3 linked regions of the Drosophila melanogaster genome follow. The protein of the gene in region 3 purifies or fractionates together with the protein of the main gene of each other region. This does not show direct contact. Each region holds a gene or a part of one and is shown on either strand. Other genes may lie near its edges. The genes, in order: Cyp4ac1, idc and sesB.

The links.
Region 1: the proteins of sesB (region 3) and Cyp4ac1 purify together in Drosophila melanogaster (affinity purification with mass spectrometry, with the first as the bait; one large-scale study listed by BioGRID). This does not show direct contact.
Region 2: the proteins of sesB (region 3) and idc purify together in Drosophila melanogaster (affinity purification with mass spectrometry, with the first as the bait; one large-scale study listed by BioGRID). This does not show direct contact.

Annotation. Positions count from the first base shown.
Region 1 is NT_033779.5:5,261,098-5,267,610, forward strand, and holds Cyp4ac1 (cytochrome P450 4ac1), read left to right. Parts: upstream 1-2,903; 5' UTR 2,904-2,936; coding exon 2,937-3,138; intron 3,139-3,198; coding exon 3,199-3,402; intron 3,403-3,460; coding exon 3,461-3,542; intron 3,543-3,598; coding exon 3,599-3,699; intron 3,700-3,758; coding exon 3,759-4,699; 3' UTR 4,700-4,802; downstream 4,803-6,513. Other genes in the region: Cyp4ac2 (cytochrome P450 4ac2), read left to right, coding at 5,335-5,539, 5,598-5,801, 5,861-5,942, 5,998-6,098, 6,282-6,513. UniProt on the Drosophila melanogaster protein: May be involved in the metabolism of insect hormones and in the breakdown of synthetic insecticides.
Region 2 is NT_033777.3:20,029,239-20,036,324, forward strand, and holds idc (identity crisis), read left to right. Parts: upstream 1-2,584; 5' UTR 2,585-2,701; coding exon 2,702-2,872; intron 2,873-2,926; coding exon 2,927-3,927; intron 3,928-4,085; coding exon 4,086-4,220; intron 4,221-4,277; coding exon 4,278-4,388; intron 4,389-4,642; exon of another isoform or gene 4,643-4,803; coding exon 4,804-4,951; 3' UTR 4,952-5,057; downstream 5,058-7,086. Other genes in the region: CG4854 (uncharacterized protein), read left to right, coding at 1-160; trem (trade embargo), read right to left, coding at 428-593, 653-763, 820-954, 1,011-1,771, 1,826-1,972; Regnase-1 (regnase 1), read right to left, coding at 5,058-6,680.
Region 3 is NC_004354.4:10,779,621-10,789,790, reverse strand, and holds sesB (stress-sensitive B), read left to right. Parts: upstream 1-2,883; 5' UTR 2,884-2,985; intron 2,986-5,332; exon of another isoform or gene 5,333-5,440; intron 5,441-6,901; 5' UTR 6,902-6,979; coding exon 6,980-7,014; intron 7,015-7,110; coding exon 7,111-7,411; intron 7,412-7,490; coding exon 7,491-7,618; intron 7,619-7,695; coding exon 7,696-8,170; 3' UTR 8,171-8,798; downstream 8,799-10,170. Other genes in the region: Ant2 (adenine nucleotide translocase 2), read left to right, coding at 9,274-9,594, 9,671-9,798, 10,096-10,170.

The sequences.
Region 1 (6,513 bases), on a different chromosome or scaffold from region 3:
CCGAAAAACGAGACTGGCAAATTTGCATAAAAATCAGTGGAGTATATTGCCTGGATTCCCCCGCCTCCTTCAGGTGACATTAACAAGCCACAAAAAAGGAAGCAGCAGCCACTGTGATACGACCAAATTTTAATTAAAAGTTTAGTGGAGCGAGAGACACACGCCAACGACAACGCGAAAACACACAGCAGCAACATCAACACCAAAAGCAACCCAAGAACAACCCAGCACAGTGGGTTCAAACTACAATATTGTGTCATATTTTAACAAAATATGTTTTTACAGAGGGTATTTAAAAACATAGTTTTGTGCACTAAGGTCATTGAATAAAGTGGATATTTTGAAGACCTCGTTTATGATTTGGTTTTACTTGGATAAACACTATGTTTGTACCCCATTGTACATCGACCGCAAGAACAACATCGGGAAGCTGAGATCTTTGGGGCACAGCGACCGCAAAAGGTTGCTGGGGCAGAATGCCGTGCAACAAGTGTCAGGCCGTGCAACATGGCTAACAAGCGTCGCCTGTTCGTCGCCGGCAACGTTCGCTGTCAGCGCATACACGCCAAAAACGAAATAAAAAAAAAAAACAAAAAAAAGGAAATAGCACAGGAAAAAAGATACATACAGAGGACGAGGTGTTAAAGTAAATATGCAAGCGCTTACAACAAATTTTACATGCCGCTGCAATAATTGAAAAATCATGTTGCTGCACAGCAAATGTTGCGGCGACCGCGCAACATGTTGCTACATGACTTTGTGCTTAGCCAGAAAATGCAGCGAGTAAGGTCAGCACTAAAAACATGAATATTTTGGCTAAAAAGATGCCGGAAAATGATGGAAAATTTGTGTACTAAAGCGCGAAGAATGCGGCTGAAAGGTGTGGTTTTTATTTTTTAAAAATTCAGACAAATAAGGTTGATAACCCACCAAGATATACAACGTAGAATACGATTTCAATTGAAGCGCCTGCTTAAGTTTTAATGATATTAGCAGTGCCTTATAAGCAACTTTGGTGCAGGTGCCTGAGGGTTCCTTAGCTCCCGAGCAGCTCAGAATTTGTTATCTTAGCAATTCCCCCAAGCGGCTTGCGGATGTGCATCGCCATTGAAGGGATAGCTGCTCTGCTTTGGCTCAGATTTTTGCTTTGCGAATTGCGCTGAGAGAATCGCAAAACCACGCTGCGAATCACGTACATAAATAAATAAATACGCAGGCGTATGACCGTATGTTTGTGTACTCATGCCGCAACGGAAGCTGCAACAGTAGCGGCAGCAACATTCAGCGCAGCAGCGGTTGAAACAACAAACAAACTAACAAACAAACATTCAAGCCGCCACCGCAATGGTTGTTGTTCACTGTTGGTTTTTGGTTTTTGTGGCCAATGCCGCCGCTGCAATTGCCACTGATCGCGTCGATTCAATTAGTAATTCTAAAAAGGCGGCAAGCGACGTCTTTTGCATCTTAATGAGCAGCAACAGCAGCAGCAGCAGCAGCAGCGGCAGTTGATGTTGCTCCTGTGGCAGCAGCAACACATGCAGCATGTTGCCGCCGCAATAACATTTGTTCATAACAACAAGAAACGGAGAGACAGGGCCAGTTTTTCCATCCAATTGTGCCGGCACAGCACTTTTCATGCCCAAATGCAGTTTGTGATTGCTGCTGTGACCGTTGCTGATCGCAACTGCTGCAGTTGCTGCTGCAACTCCTGCTGCATTGACTATTTTTGTCATCCAGGTCCACGCACTGGTCGTGCAGCATGTTTGCGCGTTCATCTCCGGCTCCGGCCATTTCCACAGAAAATGTAATTACTGTGATTTAATTTTTTTCCACATTTACTTCTATTGCAGCAAAGGCTGCAATTGGCCAGATTGCAACGGCAGCAACTGCAACTGTGGCATTGCCATTTCTGCGCGCGCATTACAAACTTGGCTCAAATTAATTCCTCAAGCCCAAATGCGATCTGGCCAAGCTGCAGCTAATCAAACTTTAATCAATGCGGCATTTTGATGCGACATTGCTAGTTTTTCTCTTTTTTTCTGCAGCCAGTTCCATAGTTGGAACGATGGGAAAATATGCCGCTTGGCCTGGGAGGAAATTTGCCAAGAAATTGTTATTAATCTGGAATGGTCATATGGGCAAACAAAAAAAAAAAACGATCGTAAGCCAGTTTGAACTATTTCAAATGCTTCGCTAACAATTTCAATATCTGTCAAGTGCTTCAATTAATTATTATGCCTTTTGATAGTAGGCAGCTGTTGAATGGAGAATACCATAATTTTTTTATTTTAATCTCATTACCTTAACATTTCCTATGTATACTTATAGGCACTAATAATTAGCCAGCTCTACTGCCAACAAAAATAAAACCATATCGCTTTGAAATCAATAGCATGACATTATAGCTTATATGCATTAAAAAGCAATTAGTTCAATTTCTGACAGTCTAAAAGCTTTGCGTGCTGGAATAAATAATTTTTACTTTTAAATGAGTTAACCAATTATTTGGTTTTAGACTGTTTTTGTTGACACAACCGAACGCTTTAGTATTCACCATTAAGCGATTAAATTAAGCTTCAAGATAATCATAAAAATATGACTGACCATTTAAAGCCGGCCATAGCATCAGTGATATAATACTTAAAATGTTGGAATGCTTCAAAATGGAGTCATCATTATAGACAATCCAAAATTAAAAAATTGCAAAGTCGAGTATAAAAAAGAATAGAACTCAACAGCACTCAACCACAATAATTGATATAATCCAACCATATAATTGGCTTCCTGATAACAGAAAGCTGTTTTGAGATTGTTATTGTTTTAAACAGTATAGTACATACAATTGATTATGATTACAGAGGCTTGATGATATGCCAAAGCTTAGTGTGTAGTGAAATTGCCTGCAGAACGGACCGATCGGAGAATTTTGCGACAAAATGTGGATCGCTCTGCTGGGGATCCCGATTTTGTTGGCGGTCCTAACGCTTCTTCTAAAACACATTAACAAAACCTACTTTATACTTTCATTAACGAAGCGTGTGCGAACCGAGGATGGCAGTCCATTGGAAAGCAAAGTGGCCATAATGCCGGGAAAAACGCGATTTGGCAACAACTTGGATATCTTGAACTTTACGCCGGGTTCGTTTTGTTACTCAATGCGATTATAGGTTTATAACTACTTTTCAAGTTTTATTACAGCTAGTGTTTTTAATTTTGTGCGCGAGTCCACGGCCAAGGCCAAGGGTCAGAATTATCTGTGGTATTTTCTATATGCACCCATGTATAATGTGGTTCGACCCGAGGAAGCTGAGGAGGTATTCCAGAGCACCAAGCTGATAACGAAGAACGTGGTTTACGAACTGATTAGACCATTTCTGGGAGACGGACTCCTGATAAGCACGGGTGATTCAATCAATTTGTACTGCATTATTATAATTACTAATTAATCAATGATTTCAAGATCACAAATGGCATTCCAGACGAAAGGCTTTAACGCCCGCCTTTCACTTCAATGTCCTGCAGTCATTCCTGGGTATTTTCAAGTAAGTTTGAACTATTAATTAACTATTGAATTCGCTCAAATATAAGTTTATTTTAGGGAAGAGTGCAAGAAGTTCCTTAACGTTTTAGAGAAAAATTTAGATGCAGAACTGGAGCTTAACCAGGTTATTCCGCCATTTACTTTGAATAATATATGCGGTGAGCTGAATGAAGTGATAATATTTAAGAACATTTAAACTAAACCATACCCTTTATAGAAACTGCTCTGGGTGTGAAGCTGGATGACATGTCGGAGGGCAACGAATATAGAAAGGCCATCCATGCCATCGAGGAAGTTCTAATTCAACGCGTGTGCAATCCGCTGATGTACTACAACTGGTATTTCTTCGTTTACGGAGACTATAGAAAGCATTTGCAGAATCTTCGAATAGTTCACGACTTCTCCAGTCGCATTATCGAACGAAAAAGGCAGCAATTCCAGCAGAAACAACTTGGAGAAGTCGATGAATTTGGCAGGAAGCAGCGATACGCCATGTTGGATACCCTGTTAGCAGCCGAAGCAGATGGTCAGATCGATCATCAGGGTATCTGCGATGAGGTCAATACCTTTATGTTCGAGGGTTACGATACTACGTCCACCTGTCTAATATTTACCCTATTGATGCTGGCTCTCCACGAGGATGTCCAGAAGAAGTGCTATGAGGAGGTGGAAAATCTTCCCGAGGACAGCGATGACATCAGTATGTTTCAGTTCAACAAACTAGTCTACTTGGAATGTGTGATAAAGGAATCGCTGAGAATGTTTCCATCAGTGCCATTTATTGGGCGCCAATGCGTGGAGGAGACTGTGGTGAATGGAATGGTGATGCCAAAGGACACCCAGATCAGCATCCACATATACGACATAATGAGAGATCCGCGACATTTCCCGAAACCAGATCTGTTCCAGCCAGACAGATTTCTACCGGAGAACACAGTGAATCGTCATCCTTTTGCATATGTGCCTTTTAGTGCAGGCCAGAGGAATTGCATTGGTCAGAAGTTTGCCATTCTGGAGATGAAGGTGCTCCTGGCCGCTGTGATTAGGAACTTTAAACTCCTGCCCGCCACCCAGTTGGAGGATCTCACTTTTGAGAACGGAATCGTGCTGCGCACACAAGAGAATATCAAAGTGAAGCTATCGAAAAGGGTAAAATGAGGAATATTTCCTAGTGTAAGTTTATGGAAAACGGTTTGCCAAAGAGCTTTTATTTGTAATTTGTTTAGAGAAACAAATAAACCAGTAAAACGATTGAAACTCTAAAACGATTGATCGCTTGTCTTATTATCTGTCATGTAAAATATAACGATTTATGATTAAACGATGAAATGATTGAACTAAAGATATCCTAACATGTAATTAATTTAATTAACACGTTCATCACAATCGGTAACGTTTAAATAAATTGCTGGTTGCTTTTTTATGGAGAGGATACATTGTGATCAATTTGCATGTTTGTAATAGTGAAACTACCGACTACTTTATACAGCTTTATAGCTTTATATACAAATTAAAGCTTACGTAAAAAAAATCAAAAGCCAATATACATAAATATCGTAAATTTCAAAAAATTTTGTTACACAAGACTTTCTAAAAACAGTGCAGTATTTGCAATTTAATATACCCATCAATTGCATGCCGCAAGGGAACATGTTTTATACTAAGTACCTATTGATTTTACAGAACTCAATTGTTCCGATCACTGAGTTCTAATCAGTATTCGTCATTTATAGATCGGAGCTTAATCTGAGAGGTATTGGAACCTCTGACCGGAATATAATATAAACGTAGAAATGTTTTTGGAAGTCCTGTTCGCTGCTCCACTTGTGATTTTCATTTTTCGCAAGTTATGGGCTCATTTGAATAGGACCTATTTCATCCTGAGTCTTTGCAAACGAATTCGAACAGAAGACGGTAGTTTGTTGGAAAGTAAAATTTACGTAGCGCCGAGCAAAACCCGATTTGGAAACAACTTTGACCTCGTAAACTTTACATCTGGTAAGTGAAACCAAATTAACACTAAAACTATATTCAAATCGTTTGGAATATTTGACAGAAAGCATATTTAACTTCATGAGAGATGCATCTGCAAAAGCGAAAGGTCGAAACTATCTATGGTATTTTTTCCATGCACCCATGTATAATATTGTTCGGGCCGAGGAAGCCGAGGAGATATTGCAAAGTTCCAAGCTTATTACCAAAAATATGATCTACGAGCTTTTGAAACCGTTTTTGGGCGAAGGACTGCTGATTAGCACAGGTATTTTTACATTTTCATTCTTAATTCCTACTATTTTAAAGAGTTTTAAACCAATTTAGATCAGAAATGGCACTCTAGAAGAAAAGCCCTGACTCCTGCTTTTCACTTTAAGGTGCTGCAATCTTTTCTGATCATATTCAAGTAAGTTTACAAAATAGTTAATGGTTGTTAAGTTGTAAGCACTCTCGATTTTTAGAGAAGAGTGCAATAAACTTGTGAAAGTCCTGCATCAAAGTGTGAATATGGAGTTGGAGCTCAATCAGGTTATTCCTCAGTTTACGCTAAACAATGTTTGCGGTAAGTTCAAGTACATTAATAAAACAATAACGCCAGCTTTGAAATACATATGTATAACTTGAGAGCAGAATGACCAGCAAATATAGAAATAAATTTGCAATGTTTATTAGTAAATCACAACAATTTTCACTGGCCGTTTATTCAACTATGCAGAGAATTTTAGTGCGATTAATGTAATTGCAGAAACCGCACTGGGAGTAAAACTTGATGACTTGTCGGAGGGTATTCGATATCGCCAGTCGATTCACGCCATTGAAGAAGTTATGCAGCAGCGCTTATGCAATCCGTTCTTCTATAACATTGTGTATTTCTTTCTATTCGGCGACTATCGAAAGCAGGTGAATAATTTGAAGATAGCCCACGAGTTTTCCAGTAACATCATAGAGAAAAGGAGGAGCCTCTTCAAAAGCAACCA
Region 2 (7,086 bases), on a different chromosome or scaffold from region 3:
CAGCAGGTCCTTTGGCTACTCCAACGTCCTCCGGGTTCATCTGAAAACCCATACCGGTGAACGACCATTTAGCTGCCAGTACTGCCAGAAGTCCTTCTCCCAGCTGCACCACAAAAACAGCCACGAAAAGTCACACAAAAGGACGAAAGAGGTGAAATGATTGCAGTGACTAAGAGGAAACATTGAGGTGCAAATTAAATAAGTTTCTCGTTGAAAATTGTACAATATATTAATGGATAAGTTCTAAGCCATAGGGCACCGCCATTAAAATTTGTCATTTTTCCTTATTTAATTTTTTATAAGAAGTAAAAAACAAATTGTACAAAAAAATATATCCTGTGTACATTTATTTGCTTAATGGAAGAACTTAAACAACGGCTTACTAAATACTTAGACTAAACTTTGCATAAGAACTAAAAAGAACATGTCACTCTTTGGGGAGTTCATTGAGAAACTCCGGCGTTTCCCCCTTGACATCTTCTGCTTTGGTGCTCTCTTCTGCGTCATTTCTCCAGGTGATACGTCTATTATGCGTTTCCCGATGCAAACGCAATTTGTAGGCCTTCACAAATCCTTTGCCACAAAGATCACAGCTGAAAGAGAATAGCTATTATTGCAGGATAATGAAGTAGTAAAATATGTTGATGCTTACACATGCGGCTTCTCCCCCGTGTGAATCATCTTGTGGAACTTCAGGTTGTCCGAGTAGGTAAACGTTCTGGAGCAAACGTCGCACACGTAGGGACGCTCCTTAGTGTGAATTCTGGAGAGAAATAATGTCAGTTTAATTTACTTTCAACTGTTTCGAATATTTCTCACCTATGATGTTTGGTTTTCGTGGATCGATCGGCGAAGGCAGCTGGACAGTAGTTGCACTTGTATGGTCGGTTCCCCGTGTGAGTGTTCATGTGCCGTACCAGCTGTTGATTCTGCACAAAGCCTCTTCCGCAGATCCTATAATAACATCCTATTAGCCATAGTTACTATTTACTTTCAACTTTTAAACCTACTCGCACTCGTGTGGTTTAACACCAGAATGGAATTTCATGTGCTCGGTGAGACGCGCCTGAGTCGGATAGATATTTCCGCACACATCGCAGATGTATGTGCTCAGCTTGTTGCGCGGCTTTCTGCCCACCTTCTTTTTGAAGGTTTCCACTTTTGGGCTATTCTTGTGGTATGCAACTGGCTTCCTGCCCGATCGGTCGCATTTTTCCGGCTTAGCATGAGTTGGGTCATAATCTTCGTCAGAGTCGAGTATGTCTTCAGCAATTTCTTCTTCGGGCGGCTCCTCTGTGGCAACATCTGTGCCGGTGGAGCCTTTTTCCTGTGCGATTTCCGGCGAGTTTTCGTTGGTGAGCAGTTCGTATTCCTCGTATTCAGCATAGGTTTCAGCCTCCTCGATCTCATTTGGCACCGGCTGCGTGGGATCGTGCACATCGAACATATTGGTATCATCAGTATCACCATCCTCCACGACATAGGTGATAACCTGATGTTGCTGATCCTCCTCGCCCTCCACTTTCATGCCGCCATCCAGCTGACTGGCGTAGTCCTCCCACGACTTCAGTACGCTCTCCACCGAAAGGTCCTCCGCGATGCTAAGCAAATCCCCTTCGCCGGCGGCGTTAGCATTGCTGGCCTCCCGGTCCAGCATGTCCATAATGTGCTGATGGGATCGCTGGCATGTCAGACGGAACTTGTAGCAGAGCCGCAGGCAGCGCACGCACTTGCTGCACATCTTGTCCGGGAAGTTGTCATCTAGGCTGACCTGTTTGGGTTGGAATAATTTAAAATGGGCAAACCAAGCAGGATTCACACTTACTGGAATGCCTGCGCAAATGTGCAGCATTTGGTCCAGTCGCGTGCTTGCCGTTTCGCTGAATATGTCGTGGAGCAGCTCCTCGCCCTCGCTGGGATTGTTCAGGCAAACGCGGCACACCACCCACTTCTCGTTGGACTCAGTTTTCATGGCTAATTCGATAAAACAATCACTTCGGTTGTTGCAGAAGATTCAAACAGCTGAATTTAAGCGTCCACGGCCACTGGCCATTCACAGCGAAACGCGCCCGCCAAAGTTGATACGGTGAATGCACGTTATGAACGACTACATGGAGCGTACAGGGTACATAGCTGTATGTGCACTTTTTACCAAACAAATGTTTTAAATAATTTTTTTTTGGTAGAAAATAATATAAAAATGCGCGTCATTTTATTAATTTTATTTTCAATTTACAAATATTGAAGGAAAATGGTTTTAAGTTCGTTTATATAATAAAAAGGAAAAGCACTATTCTATCAAAGTAGTTTTGTTTCAGTACAGTAATGACCACACTGTCTTATGGAACGATGGAACTTTACATGAGCTTGACATATAATATTGTATTAAACTGCTTAATCAAGCTTTTATATATTTAAATTGTAAAACACTTGAATTCCAATTTTACTGATTTATTTAACTGCCCACAAAATGCATTCGTATTCTTAATTATATATTTAATATTTGAAGTAGCGAATGGAATACCCTTAGCGTCGACTGTGGTCACCCTGTGTGGCGACATTCGCATTGCAACGCGTGCACTTCGCTCCAGACTACAATCTATTTTTTTGGCGTCGTCTTCGTCCAGCGAGCGTGTTATTATAAATATTATAGCGGAGGGTAAGTAGCCTCCTGGAAGAGATCCATCTCCTATTCGCGACAATGAGAGACTCGGCAGCACATGCGAGTCCGGCGGCAGCGGCAACGAGCACGCAGAAGTGGATCGTTTGCCGGGTTTGCCTGCAGCAGCCCAAGGAGCCCATGGCCAGCATTTTCAACGACGATTCGGAAAAGGATCTGACCCACATGATTCGCGAGTGCGGCGGAGTGCCCGTAAGTTTGTCCCATTGGACCCCGAACCATATAACAATGCAATTTCCTTGGCAGATCAAACAGTTCGATCACTATCCGGACAAGATATGCGAGAAGTGCTTCAAGGTGCTGAAAATGGCATTTAAGTTTCGAGAGACCTGCCAAAGATCGTACGGCCATCTGCGCCAGTTCGTTGGACCCGTAGAGGTGGAGCAGCGACCACCGGAGAAAAAGGGCTCAGAGACAGCCACCAAGCTGGAGCCGGATGTCGATCCCGATGAGGCGGAGCAGGAGCCAGAGCATGACGAGGAAGACGAGGATGTGGACCTGGACGAGAGCCACTATGCCGAGGCGGACGATGCCGCCGAAACGCAGGGTGGTGTCTTCCATGACGAGATTGAGGATGGTATCCTCGTTGAGCTGGAAAAGGATCGGATTGTGCACGTGAAGAACGAGCAGGTGGAGGAGGACGGCATAATCGAGGAGGTTTATGACGTGTATGAGACGTACGAGGGCGACCTCATCCCAGATCAGGGCTATGACCACGAGATGGCCGATCAAGCCCTGTCCGAGTTATCTGCCGAAATCGAATACCTGGACCAGGTCGAGCATGATCAGTTGACCGAAAGTGCCCACGAGGATGATGCGGAAGTCGATCTGAACTCAACCGAAGAGGAGTTCGTTCCCTCAAAAAGCGTTCGCGCGTCCATCCATGCGCGGAATGCCACCAAGCGGAGAGTGAATCCCCGCAGGTCAGCTACATCGACGGCCTCGGTGGCTGTAGAATCGAGTACCTCCAAGACAACTGACCGCGGCAATCCACTTAAGGTACGGCGGGGTAACAGTGATTCGGCTGGCAGCAAAATGAGCATCAAATCCGAGAAGGACATCTCGATTGGCGAGGTGCTGGCGCGCAAGCATTCCGGCATTAAAACCAAAGGCGGCCACAAGATCCTTCTTGGCGACAAGAAGGAGTTCAAGTACATCTGCGATGTCTGCGGCAACATGTATCCCTCCCAGAGTCGCCTTACCGAGCACATCAAGGTCCACTCCGGCGTGAAGCCGCACGAGTGCGAGTAAGTAACTTCACAGTTTTTACTGCGTGTTCACTATGTTCTTTGGAGTGTTATTACGATTTTAGCTCATATATCCGTCTAATTCGGGTATAATGATTGTGTGGAAGTAATTAATCATTTTCAATAAGCCTTCATTAACTTAAAATCTCATTTTTCAGGATCTGTGGTCATTGCTTCGCCCAGGCTCAGCAGCTGGCACGCCACATGAACACCCACACCGGAAATCGGCCGTACAAATGCAGCTATTGCCCGGCAGCCTTCGCCGACTTGTCCACGCGTAACAAGCACCACAGGTAAGTTGGTGAGCTCCAATCCAAACCCGATTTGATTGAATAATTACCCGTTTGCAGAATCCACACCAACGAGCGACCCTACGAGTGCGATGTTTGCCACAAGACATTCACTTACACCAACACCTTGAAGTTCCACAAAATGATTCATACGGGAGAGAAGCCGCACGTGTAAGTTTCGCTTTCCCCCTGGCGGTTACAGTCCGTATTCTCTAGCACGAACTTTCACTGTTTCACAGATTGTTTATGCATACACTAGCTTCAGAACCAGATTGAGTTTTTTTTTTGATATAGAGAGATGGAAATCGTTTATAAAAATATACTTTTTATTCTATAAGAATGTACAATTCACAGTGGAAACTATTTTGAAAGAGCCATGCTGTTTCAAAAGATTATTGTTTACGAATATTACGTAGTATATTAATATTTTGAGTTTAGTTGATTGTTTATTAGGTGCCTGAGGCGTAAATAACATTAGATAAACAGGGAATGAAGTATTAGTGTTTAAATATTATAAGTTATAAGGAAGACATAAATTAATCAAGGATTCTAATCAATTTAAAACACGTTTGCTCTCTCTCTTTAGCTGCGATGTGTGCGGCAAGGGATTCCCGCAGGCGTACAAACTGCGTAACCACCGGGTCATCCACGAGAGGCGCGGCCAGTCCGCACGGGAATCCGTAGCCGGGCTGGTGTCCTACGACACGGCCAACATCGTTGGCCTGGATATGTAAATTTCGAGCGAGGACTCCACGTCGTCCCAAAGCGACACTTTACACTTTAAGCAGAAACACGCGTGTAATTACACATCTAATTATATTGATGAAATTTAAGCCTAGCCTAATTATGCGGAAATAAATTAAGAATAGCCGCGCATATGGTCTTGGCGTCGGTCTCCTCCGGATAGAGCTGCAGTACGGCATGCACCTGGTGCGGTGGGAAAAGGCTGCCCAGGTGATAGCGCAGCAATCGGCGCTGCTCCTCCCGCGGAAGCTGCTGCGAGGCGTGCAGCTCCTCGTTGATGCGCGAATCGGAGGCAGACAGATGGGCGAAGTTGTGAGCGGGCAGTGGCAGACCCAGTCCCTGATCCGTGACCGGGGCGGATGGCGTGCGCGTCAGATACTGGTGGTGATAGTTGGTGCTGGAGTTGGACTGTTGATGCTGCTGCTGTGCCTGGTGTTGTTGTTGCTGGAGGGGAGCACTGTAGGTGGGCACCAGCAGGCGGTAGGCGGGCGGCGGTTGTTGGCGCTGCAGCTTCTTGTGGCGATTGGGCTGGCTGGATTCCACGGCACCCTCTGAAAGATCCATTTGAGCGGAGAAGCCCTGACATACCTGCTCGATGGTATTTGACTTGGTGCGCCCCAGCGGCTCCCGGCTAATCAGTGAGTTGATCTTAACATTGTTATTATTGCCACCCGGACTGACCAACTGTTGGCCACCGTTCGTGTGCAGGGGCGCGCTGTGGGAGGCCTGCAGCGGGAGGCGCTGCAGCAGTGGCGCCTGATTGTGATGCCGGAACTTGCACTTCTGGCCGTAGGTGCACTTCTTGCCGTACGGACACAACTGCTGCGCATCCGCCATTTTCTGCTGCGTCTGCGAGCACAGGAAGAGGTCCAGATTTGGACCCGATCTGCCCAGCGGATCGTCGGGTGGCATGAAGATGTCATTTACAAAAGAGTACATCAACAGGCGCTCCTGCACCACGCGCCTAAACTCGTTACTCTCCAGGATCAGATCCCTGTAGTTGTCGTTGGAGACTACAATGCCGTCAGTTTCCACTGCCAGCTTGAGTATGAAGCGATCATCGTAGCAGGACACACGCTTGCCATCCAGATGTCGCGATGGCGTGAACACCAGGTATCTTTCGTGCTCCAGCTCGTAGAGCAGCTCCTGGTCGGCTATGTTGTTGTTCGCCATCTCCTTGCGCCAGTTGGGCACGAAAGCGGTGATGTCGCGATGGCCACGCTGCCGGAACCAGTCCACACAGATGCGAATGCCGCGGCAAGAGAATACTAGATTGTTGCCGTGAGAAAGGGCGACATTACTGCCATCGATTACGATGTGTCTCAAGCCAGAGCTGTTGCTACCGCCGGTCGGGGAGGACAGAGTGCTGGTCATGCTGGATGGACTGCCGCCTCCGCCTATGTGGGCGGGCCGCGGTGCATCGGCCGTCAGCTTGATCAGCTCCGCCAGCAGCTCGTTCTGCTTGGCTTCCGAGCCGAGGCGCGTCAGCGCCGAATGGATGGACTGTTCGCTGTAGCCTAGCTTTTTGGCGAACTCCAGGTTCTGGCGCTCCGTTGTGCGGCTGGGACTCTGGCTCTCATCGTCGTCGGAGCAGCTTTCCTGCTTTCTCACTGGCAACTTGTTGCTGCTGCCGTGTTTTTGTTGTTGCTGGTGGACCTGCTGTTGTTGTTGCTGCTGTTTGTGTTGCTCCTGCACTTCGCAATCCATCTTGATGCGCATCTAACTGACCAGCGGCTGGCTTTCCCTCGGCTGCTCGCTCCTGTTGTTTGTTTTGCCCGCTTCCTTGCGTTTTTAGCTGTTCTCTGCAGCAAGTTCCGTCTATTTACATTTACAGACTAGAGCTGGGTTGCCCATTCACGGTCTTATCGATGAATTGTATCGAACATTTTGGTTAGCAAAACAGCATTGCCGCCTTGGTATCGATTGTAGTAGAGCTAGGCGCCATAAGATACGCTCATCACTAATTTGGAGAACAGGAAACGGATTCATCTTCCTCTTATTCAGATTTAAAATGCCCGCCAGATATGTATGTTTAATACATAATAACGAATCTTTAATCTTTGCCAGAATATCTTGCAATTAAACGTATTTACATACGTGTTCCATACAAAAACGTATAGAAAAA
Region 3 (10,170 bases):
CTCCCCTCATGGGACCTTAAGCAGTCCCCCCCCCCCTTTCACCAGAACCCTAACCTGCACACATCATTTTTTCAATTTTTGAACGGCGAGCAAACTATATAGAAACCACTTTACACATAATATACTAAAGCTTAAAACAAAAAAAAACATAAAATTAAAGATGAAAACTTACAAAAAAATACCACTATTTTTACATTAATTATTTTTAAATTTATCCTTATCTTTACCTAAATTAGTTTAGAGCTTTTTTTTGCGTCGTCTACATTTTACTGTTAAGTTCATTTAATCTACACATAATCTACATGAGGATGATGTGACGACACCAGATGTATCTACACTGTACATTGTATCTACATTACAGAGCTAAAATATCTATAAATATTATAAATATAACAAAAAAAGAGTAAAATATTATTAAAAACACAAAAAAAAAAACAAAAATAATTCGTTCCTTGGTTGTTTTTATTTTCGTTGTAGTTCAGTATTTTTGATTTTCAGTAACTGGTTTTCCTCTCTCCTTTCCAAATCGGCTTCGATTCCGAAATCCTATAATCCCGATCGTTTCGAGAGGCTTTCGATGTTGTCCCTGTACCCAGACATACATATATTAATGATCCGTAACCCCCTATTCAAACAGTTGTCTAAATTATTAATTTAATGTGAATTTGAGAAGAGCTAAAGTCGTCAGATAAATTCAAATAGCGTGTGAGTACATACATAGATGTATACCTAACTAACAACACCGATCATATATATGGAGTACACTAAACTAACATAACCTAACGTAAACTAAAATAAAGAATAAATGAATGAATTAACTACCTCAGCTTTGAATATTTCTATAGAAATGTTATTAAATGTATTTGAAAAGCGTAAGAGATATACAAATGCAAGATGCCGCCAGATCGAAAGATAGTTAATAAAAAGAAAGACAGATGGAACAGAACAATGTCAAAGAATACAAGTTTTAGAGCTGCATTTATATAGTATCAGATCGATAAGGAACATAGTAACAAAATCGTAAAACAAAACCAAAAAAAATATATTAAGTGTACGTTTTGCATATTCCTATATAGTTAACTAAACGTAAAAGCAAGATGGGTAAACATGAATACTACTATAACAATCATTTTGCGTCCATTTTTGTTGTTTCCTATACAAGAAAAAATTAAATAAAAACAAAAACAAACCACAAAAAAAAAAAATAAACAAAAAAAAAGCGAACGAATAAATCACACAAATAGGATGAAAACAAAACTATATTCCCAATTACATTGTATAACTGTCTTTTAACCACAAGCAAAACGCTAACACAATCGGTACACGATAACCAATATACTATACATATATCAAATATCCACTCTGTGTATGTTTTGTATCTGCCATGGAATATGTACCCGAAAGTAATCTAGATAACCACGTAAAGGACATAGGACTCGATGTCTAGATGTGTCGTCATAGTTTAGAGGCCCCAGTATTTACTAGCCAGTACTTTGCATTTGTTTGCCTTTATCTTTTACCTTTACCATTGCCTTTAAATTAACCCCTCTGTCCAACCAACGAAATTCAAAAGAAAGGGTTCTTCATTTGATTACCATACCCCTCAGCACGCCCAAAACTCCTAGTATTCTGGCCTGTCCCAGGGTGCTGATTCAAAAACTAGAGATATACATAGGTGTATACATAACATACTAATCTGCGTAAGATGTTTTCCCCATTTCGGTGTAACTAAATGTTAATATTGCTAGCGCTCAATACGAAATTACCGTATACAAGACCCACATACAGCAAATAAAAAGACACAAAAGCTTACTAAATTGTATCCCAAGGCCAAGGAAAATATTAGAAAACCAGATATACAACTAACTCAAATACAATTTTGTGAACATGTGAAAAACAAATCGAAAAGAAATTTACTCAATAAATGATTTTTCGTATATAAGAAGTGCATTTTGAATCAAGTTTTGCGATTATCCTTTTCAACAACGTTTTAAAATTAAGAATATGATATTTTCGAAAAACATTTTTCAGAATAACTTGGCCAAAAAAGGTGGCTCAGCTAAAACGATGACTGTTTTGTGTTGCTTATTAACATTGCTAACAATCTGTAACACTTTCAAACCGAGTTTCAGGAATAATTTTTTTGACCAATTTAAGCAATTTTTCATTAGGGGTACCATCATCAAAATTCGACAAATTACCGATTTTCTCATTTTCGATAACCAAATTTGCAAAAAATGGCCAAAAATTAAAGTTGCCAGACTTAAATACAGTTCGATGAGGAATTTGGAACGATTTCAACGAGGTATGAGATATTCCAATTTTGGACAAACCTTTGATTTAATATAAAAAGAAAACTTTTGTTTTTGTAAAAAAAAGAGCAATTAAAAAACCGCGTTAAATGCAATACATTCAAACTAGTTTTTATCATAGTTTGGCAAAAGGAGGTCGTACAGGTCGTTGTTAATTTCCCAAAGAAGCGTGCAGATTAATTGTAATGAATCCATTATTAAAACATAAAATAGTCTTTAACTTTTGTGTAATTCAGAACTCGCAATAATATAATATATAATATAAAATAATATAACATAATGGGAAAGTCGATGTAAAAATATTTTTAAGGTATTAAAAAATATCGATATTGATGCTTCAATCCCCGCTTGCCTTAATTTTATAATAAAACGTAATATACTGGTTTTAATTACATCAAAAATAGCCATATTTATTTATACTAGCAAAAGTTACCGACAAAAATATCACGAATAAAAACCGAAATCTAGCTGAATATCGATAGATCGCCGAATAAATACCAGTTAAAGCAACTATCGATATGCGGTATTTTTGCAGCTTTCATCCCCAAGTCACTGGGCCCTCGAGACCCCCACCACTTTACGAATTTCATTCGCCAAGTGAGCACGCGGCTTCGTCTGATTCTGCAAAAGAAGTTTTTATTCTGTGACTTTTGTGAGAAGTTATCAACTGAAGGTATTGTGCTATTTTCTATATCTATTACATTTGCGAGGCTCTTTTGCTTAACAAGAAAAGAGACGGTGTGCCCCGTACCTGCCATTGATTTTTTTTTACCCATTAATTCACGTCACCTTGCGCTAGATTCTGTAGTTATGTAATGTGCTAATTTTTTTATTGTGTCGGTGTTGGTTTAAACTAACGTTTTTTTTTGTATGTTCGACAAGCAGTTCCGGTTTAACTGCATCGAAAAGAAATCCCGAAATGGGACTTGAAAATACCCGAAAAGTGCTTACATAACCCTTGCGAAAAATAATTGTGCCGAAATTGTGTTTGCCATCAATTAAACACGTAATAAATTGGGCGTATTAGCAAACTTTTCGGTATTTTATACCCCCAATCCAAAGTTCATTTAGAATACCCAGAAAGAAAATGGAAGAAGCCACGCTGGATCTTTTTCCCATCTATTTCCTTCCAATTTGCAACCACGCTGGAACTGCCAACTTATGCAATAGCAACGAGTTGGCAGGCCGGCTCGTCTGTACGAAAAAATGTTGCACATGAATTGCGATTATATTTCAAAGAGAATTGCACTTCTCTAGAATCAAATTGGCCTGCATTTGCACAAATATATTATTATATACACCAAATGCAGGCTATTCTATAGTAAAACGCGTGGCAATTGATTGTTCTACCGCCCAGTCGCACATGAGTGTGTATGAACACACAGTTGCGAATAAATTCCATGTGCCACTAACGCCCTCTCGCTCACTCCCATGCCAGACACCAGCTGCGCGTGCAAGTACTTATCGGGTGTGTGTGTGTGAAGAAGAGAGAGAGAGTTGGTTTTATTTCTTAAGAGTAATGTAACTATTTCTCTTTGGTTGCCTCCCTTTCTTTTCTGACCTGCTTTCTTTTATTAAAGATAAAAATTCATGCGAAAAAAACGGGTTTCCCCAGTGTTCTCATTTCTTCTATTATTATTCCATTCCCATACCCCTTAAACCCTTTCTGACGTCAATCGTTAATGTACGTATAGTATTCATGTGATTTATTGTTTATTGTAGCCCTTTGTGTGGCCTTTTAGTGCGATTTTGCACTTGGTTGAGATTAGTGTTTATTATTACATATCCCTGGCGAATCACATTTCCAATTCTCGCCCAGTCGGCGGAAATTTTCAGTGTGATTTTCAAGCCGATCCACGCCCTGTCCTAAAACCCCGATTCATCGCACACTGAGCCATAAAAATTATAACTTCGCTGCCGTTTAATTTTGGCAATTAAGCATTTTTGCAGTAACTTTGCAACTGCATTTTTTACGCTCTCTTTTTTGATGGGCAACTAGCTCTCTTTTATTTTTTATGTAATTTTTGTGATAACGGGACCTTGAAAAAGTGTCGTAGACAGTTATATAAATTAACTGTATTAGCAGAAGTGTTTATCTAATCGCTTCACGCATTTTTTTTCGAGCGCCGCCCCTCTTCCGCCTGCGTGAAAGAGACGAAGCGTGAGAGAGAGGGAGAGAGCGGCAGGTGGACGTCAGAAAGCAAAGTCACATGCTAGCAGTGCTGCCAACCCTATCTTTAGAAATAAAGCCAAATGTTATTAATAGCTTAGCAATTAAATAGCTACAAACAATTAATAAAACCTTTCAACTCTTTTCAACTTTTATTTTTATAAAAATTGATAATAGTTTTGGTTTTTGTATTTGAATAAATTGTTCACTGCTGTATATTGAAGTTTTCTAAGCCAGTCCAAGTAGTTCTTAAAACTGAATATCAAAGATACCCCAATTTTGTTGAATAAGGAAGACATGTATTTGGGTGTAATAGAAGTACACTATTCAATCTTCTAGAAATCTAGCTAACAACTAGCTAAACGGGACTATCCGTCTGCTTCGCAGCTGACTTGTCGGCTATTTGCCAAATGTAAATGTTGTGCGTACATTCATTTTGGCAAGCGTTTAGAAAGCGCCGTCGAAAACCTCGAAAGGGGTAAATGAAAAACAATTGGCCATATATGCATTTTTGGTCATGGCCAAAACGAAACAAAAAGTGTTTTCTAATGAGTACAAGTGTGTGGTACAATACTTCCTCTTATGCAACGAATGGCGACATTGAATTCTTGAATTCTCAGCACTGATAAGCGGCGATCTCTCGCCCTCTCTCGCTCGCACACGTGCTGTTGCCAACCGCTAGTTTTTTTTCGGCTCTCTCCGAATTTCGCATACTCTGCATATGCATATAGAGAGAGAACGCTCTCCCCCTCTCTCGCTCACGCTCATCTGTTGCTGAACTTGACGATGGCGGCGACTGCGACGCCGACGTAGGCAGAGCAGGCTAGCTGGCAGATTTCGGCGAAAGGAACTTTCACAAGCAATTCAGTTGCCGTCCGGTTCAGACTTCTGACTTCCGAGGAATAAGGATAAATTTTTTTCGGTTTTGTGCTGTGATATAGAAACACAAATACAAATTGTACGTATGGCAAACAAATTGGATATCAATTATCGAATCGAATTGAGCCATAGCCCATTTAACAAAATACGCGTGTGGTTCCTAATGCTTTTATTATTATTTTTTTTTTTTAAATCAAATCCAACCTGAGCATTGAAAGAAAATCTGCCTGGTTATGTAAAACAACAAAAGAGTTGAACTTGAATCATTCATTGAACAATTTTTTTTCTGGTGTGTGGTGGTGGTCTTATGCAATCAATAACAATGAATTAAGAATAAACTTAACACTGGATTGTGGATACTACTACGACTGCTCAGCCTTCGGTGGAAGCTTTCCACGTGCAACTGTAGAATTTTTCCAGCTGAGGCTATTACATCACGAGCCTTTTAGCTCTCGGCTCTCTGTGGCTGTGGCCGAAGAAAAAGCTTCACTCTCTTTCCAGCCAATCAAAAGTCTAACACGATTAGATAACGGTTGTTATTTCAAAGAAAGAGAACAGAAGAGAAACGAAACAATGGCAAAGCACAGTTCTCTTTGCCAAGTGTGTTACATAAAACCCTTGTCAATGAAATGCTGATTTAATTTCGCTAAAATATAATTTAAACCACACGGCTAACGCAGAGCGGCGGCTGCTCTTGAAAGTCTAAAATTAACAAAACGCGCTTCAATGGCGAATGCCAACTGCCAAAAAAAAAAACCGTGGCCTCTATAGCCATCTTGCTCACACCCACTCAAATGCCCATATATATTGGCTTTTTCCATTGAACTTTTTCAATTCAATTCTTTTCTTTTTTTTTGTGTGGTGTGGCAATTATGCAATCCCCCAATCTTTACTCAATGAAAACCAGTAGACTGCCGCTCTATCCAACTAGAACTGCAATTGATTTATGTCATATTCTCTAGATAACATAAATTAGATAAGCACTTATGTATTTATGTATGCCACGTAATGCCATGTATTTTACTTAGTTTTCAAAGCTAACTGGTTAGAACTTAATTTTCCAACAGTACTTATTTTATATCGATTTAAACCACCACGTGGCAACCAGCCGGCCAATAAAACTTTTCACCTTTTTTGCACAAAACCAGTTTTACCGGCAACTGCCAACACGCATACTAACACAAACAACAAATAATTGTAACCAAAACGCTGATGTTTCCATAAACCATTCAATATTAACCCCCTTTAGCATTAAGTTTAAGTTGCCATTTATACTAACTGTGCATGTTTTTATTTGTTTCATTTGTCGCTAAAACCTTTTTACTTCACCCGCAAAAATGTTTTGTAACCATTTGTAGTGCTGTTCAAAAAAAAAAGTGCATGTTTTTCGGTTTCGGTTTATAACTGTTCAAAAAAATAAAAAAAAAGTGCATGTTTTTCGGTTTCGGTTTATAATTTAATACATTGAAAATTTTCACATTTTCATTTGGCTTTGGGCTATTCTTCTATTGTGCCTTTTTTTGCACCCGTGTAAACAAAGTGAATCGTACATCCACTATACAAAAATACCGTAAACGTATATCGTAACCATTATGCAACGCACCATCACCCGCATGCCATGGGGAATATATCAGCATCCATAACATCACAAAGGTATATCATCATCGGTATCACCAAGTATCACCATCAGCGATGACGGAACTGTCGAGATTAATCAGAGTTTTGGCCAATTGCACGATGTGTTTACAGCAAAATGGGCAAGGATTTCGATGCTGTTGGATTCGTCAAGGATTTCGCTGCCGGAGGCATCTCCGCAGCTGTCTCCAAGACTGCCGTCGCCCCCATTGAGCGTGTGAAACTGCTCCTGCAGGTTCAGCACATCTCGAAACAAATCAGCCCCGACAAGCAGTACAAGGGCATGGTTGATTGCTTTATCCGCATTCCAAAGGAGCAGGGATTCTCGTCCTTCTGGCGCGGCAACTTGGCCAACGTCATCAGATACTTCCCAACCCAGGCTCTGAACTTTGCCTTCAAGGACAAGTACAAGCAGGTGAGACTTTGCAGTCTGCATGTTAGCAATGCGAGCGGAAAACACTAACGCCCCGGTTGCTATTATGTGTGTAACTTAGGTCTTCCTGGGTGGCGTGGACAAGAACACCCAGTTCTGGCGCTACTTCGCCGGCAACTTGGCCTCCGGTGGTGCCGCTGGTGCTACCTCTCTGTGCTTTGTCTACCCCTTGGACTTTGCCCGTACTCGGTATGTTGGTATATTTGCGAAAAACAAAAAAAAAATGTCCAATAAACTAACGTAATGCTTTCGCTACGAATTTACAGCTTGGCTGCTGATACTGGCAAGGGTGGTCAGCGTGAATTCACCGGTCTGGGCAACTGCTTGACCAAGATCTTCAAGAGCGACGGCATCGTTGGATTGTACCGTGGTTTCGGAGTGTCCGTGCAGGGCATCATCATCTACCGTGCCGCCTACTTCGGCTTCTACGATACCGCTCGCGGTATGCTGCCCGACCCCAAGAACACACCCATCTACATCAGCTGGGCCATCGCCCAGGTTGTGACAACCGTCGCTGGCATCGTGTCCTATCCCTTCGATACCGTGCGTCGTCGCATGATGATGCAGTCTGGTCGCAAGGCCACCGAGGTCATCTACAAGAACACACTGCACTGCTGGGCCACCATCGCCAAGCAGGAGGGCACCGGTGCCTTCTTCAAGGGCGCCTTCTCCAACATTCTCAGAGGAACTGGTGGCGCTTTCGTGCTTGTGTTGTACGATGAGATCAAGAAGGTCTTGTAAATTAAATTATTAAATTATTCAAAACAAGCAAAATACAACAACATACAACAACAAAACAAAACAAAAGAAGTAAAACTAAACACTACCAGCTAATTATGTTAGATAACTGAATGAGAAAAGCTAAAACAACAGCAATAGCAACAGCAAAGGCATAAGCTAAGTTTGATCTGCAACCAACACCTCTTACCACGAACAACGGCAAGCAATAACAGCAAGAACCCTTCCTTCCTCACCCCGATATAATTATGAAATTATATTATTTATAAAAACTGGGAACTAATTTACGGAACGATGGCCAGCGTCAATAGAACAACAATACTACAGCAAACAGCAATGCTCGGGGCAGAGAGAGGATGCGACTCAGCACATGAGACTAGACCCACTACACTGAAAGACGAACGAACATAGCGACGATATCGATTAGTATTGTTAAGTTTGGGTTAGGCTATATACTATAGATCCAGTCATGTTGCTGGGTCGTCCCACATCTCCCCAGCCAAATCAGTGTTATCGATCGGATGCAAAGAATCGAACCGAAGACCTGTAGATTCTTTCGCCTCCGAAACGACAAACCAACAAACAAACTCAACTTCGGTTGGTTTAAAAATATATAAAAATTGATAAAAATAGTACAATGTTGTGTTTTTCTTTCTGCGCACGTACATATGTATGTATGTATATCGATCTTTCATATTTCGACTTGAACCCAATTATTGCAATGAAAGTACATATGTATTTGTAATTCAAAAATTATATTAGCATACTTACACAGACCATTTGTGCAGTCAACCAATTGGTCGTCTCAATTTAATCTTCGGCAGTTCGAAGCTAAATTATTATAATTATTTTCTGTTGTTAAAAGAGGAAAAAAACGTACGCTCATCGCTTCTAAAATTGTTGGTCAAAGTAGGCCACGATAAATACATCGAATGTCATTTCGACCGACTGGCACACAACCTCGTTAGCCAATCTCAGTTCAGATCTCAACGTTGTAACATCAAAATTAAAAATTGTAAAAAGTGAAAGTCCGTTTTTATCCTTTTTTACCAACCAACTTTGAAGCTAAACTAAATCGTTTTAAAATCATTAAACAGTAAACTAACATGGGCGATGAAGGCGGTGGCGGTGGTCATGGCAAGGGAGACCTTAAGTCTTTCCTCATGGACTTCATGATGGGCGGCGTTTCAGCTGCCATAGCCAAAACGGCAGTGGCTCCTATCGAGCGCGTGAAGCTCATTCTGCAGGTGCAGGAGGTTTCCAAGCAGATCGCGGCAGATCAGCGCTACAAGGGCATAGTCGATTGCTTCATTCGCATTCCCAAGGAGCAGGGCTTCTCGTCGTTCTGGCGCGGCAACTTGGCCAACGTAATCCGATACTTCCCAACTCAAGCCCTTAACTTTGCCTTCAAGGATGTGTACAAATCGGTTAGTTGTTTGGACAATCCTTATAATAATCATTTCACATACGCCTATAACATATAAAACATAAAACATACTACAGGTATTCCTCGGGGGCGTGGACAAGCACAAGCAGTTCTGGCGCCACTTTGCAGGAAACTTGGCCTCTGGCGGTGCAGCAGGTGCCACATCTCTGTGCTTCGTTTATCCACTGGACTTTGCCAGAACCCGGTAAGTTGATTCATTATATACACATTCAATTGGTTTTTTCATTTATACACATATACATTAAAAATTGATAATTTTGAGTAATTGAGGAAAACAATTCGAACCTTTACATACTTACTATAGTCGTTCAAAATAATCGATGTCCAAATGAGATTATACATTAAGACGCTTTTTCTACAACTGCATTATTCACCCACATGAACTGTTTTCCCCATTTGATTTGAATTTGATTTACTTTCATTGGATTCGATTTTGTTATTAACTATTTATTACTATTCCAATTCAATCTTCCGCCGACAGTTTGGCCGCCGATGTGGGCAAGGGCGGCAATCGGGAGTTCAACGGCCTGATCGATTGTCTAATGAAGGTGATCAA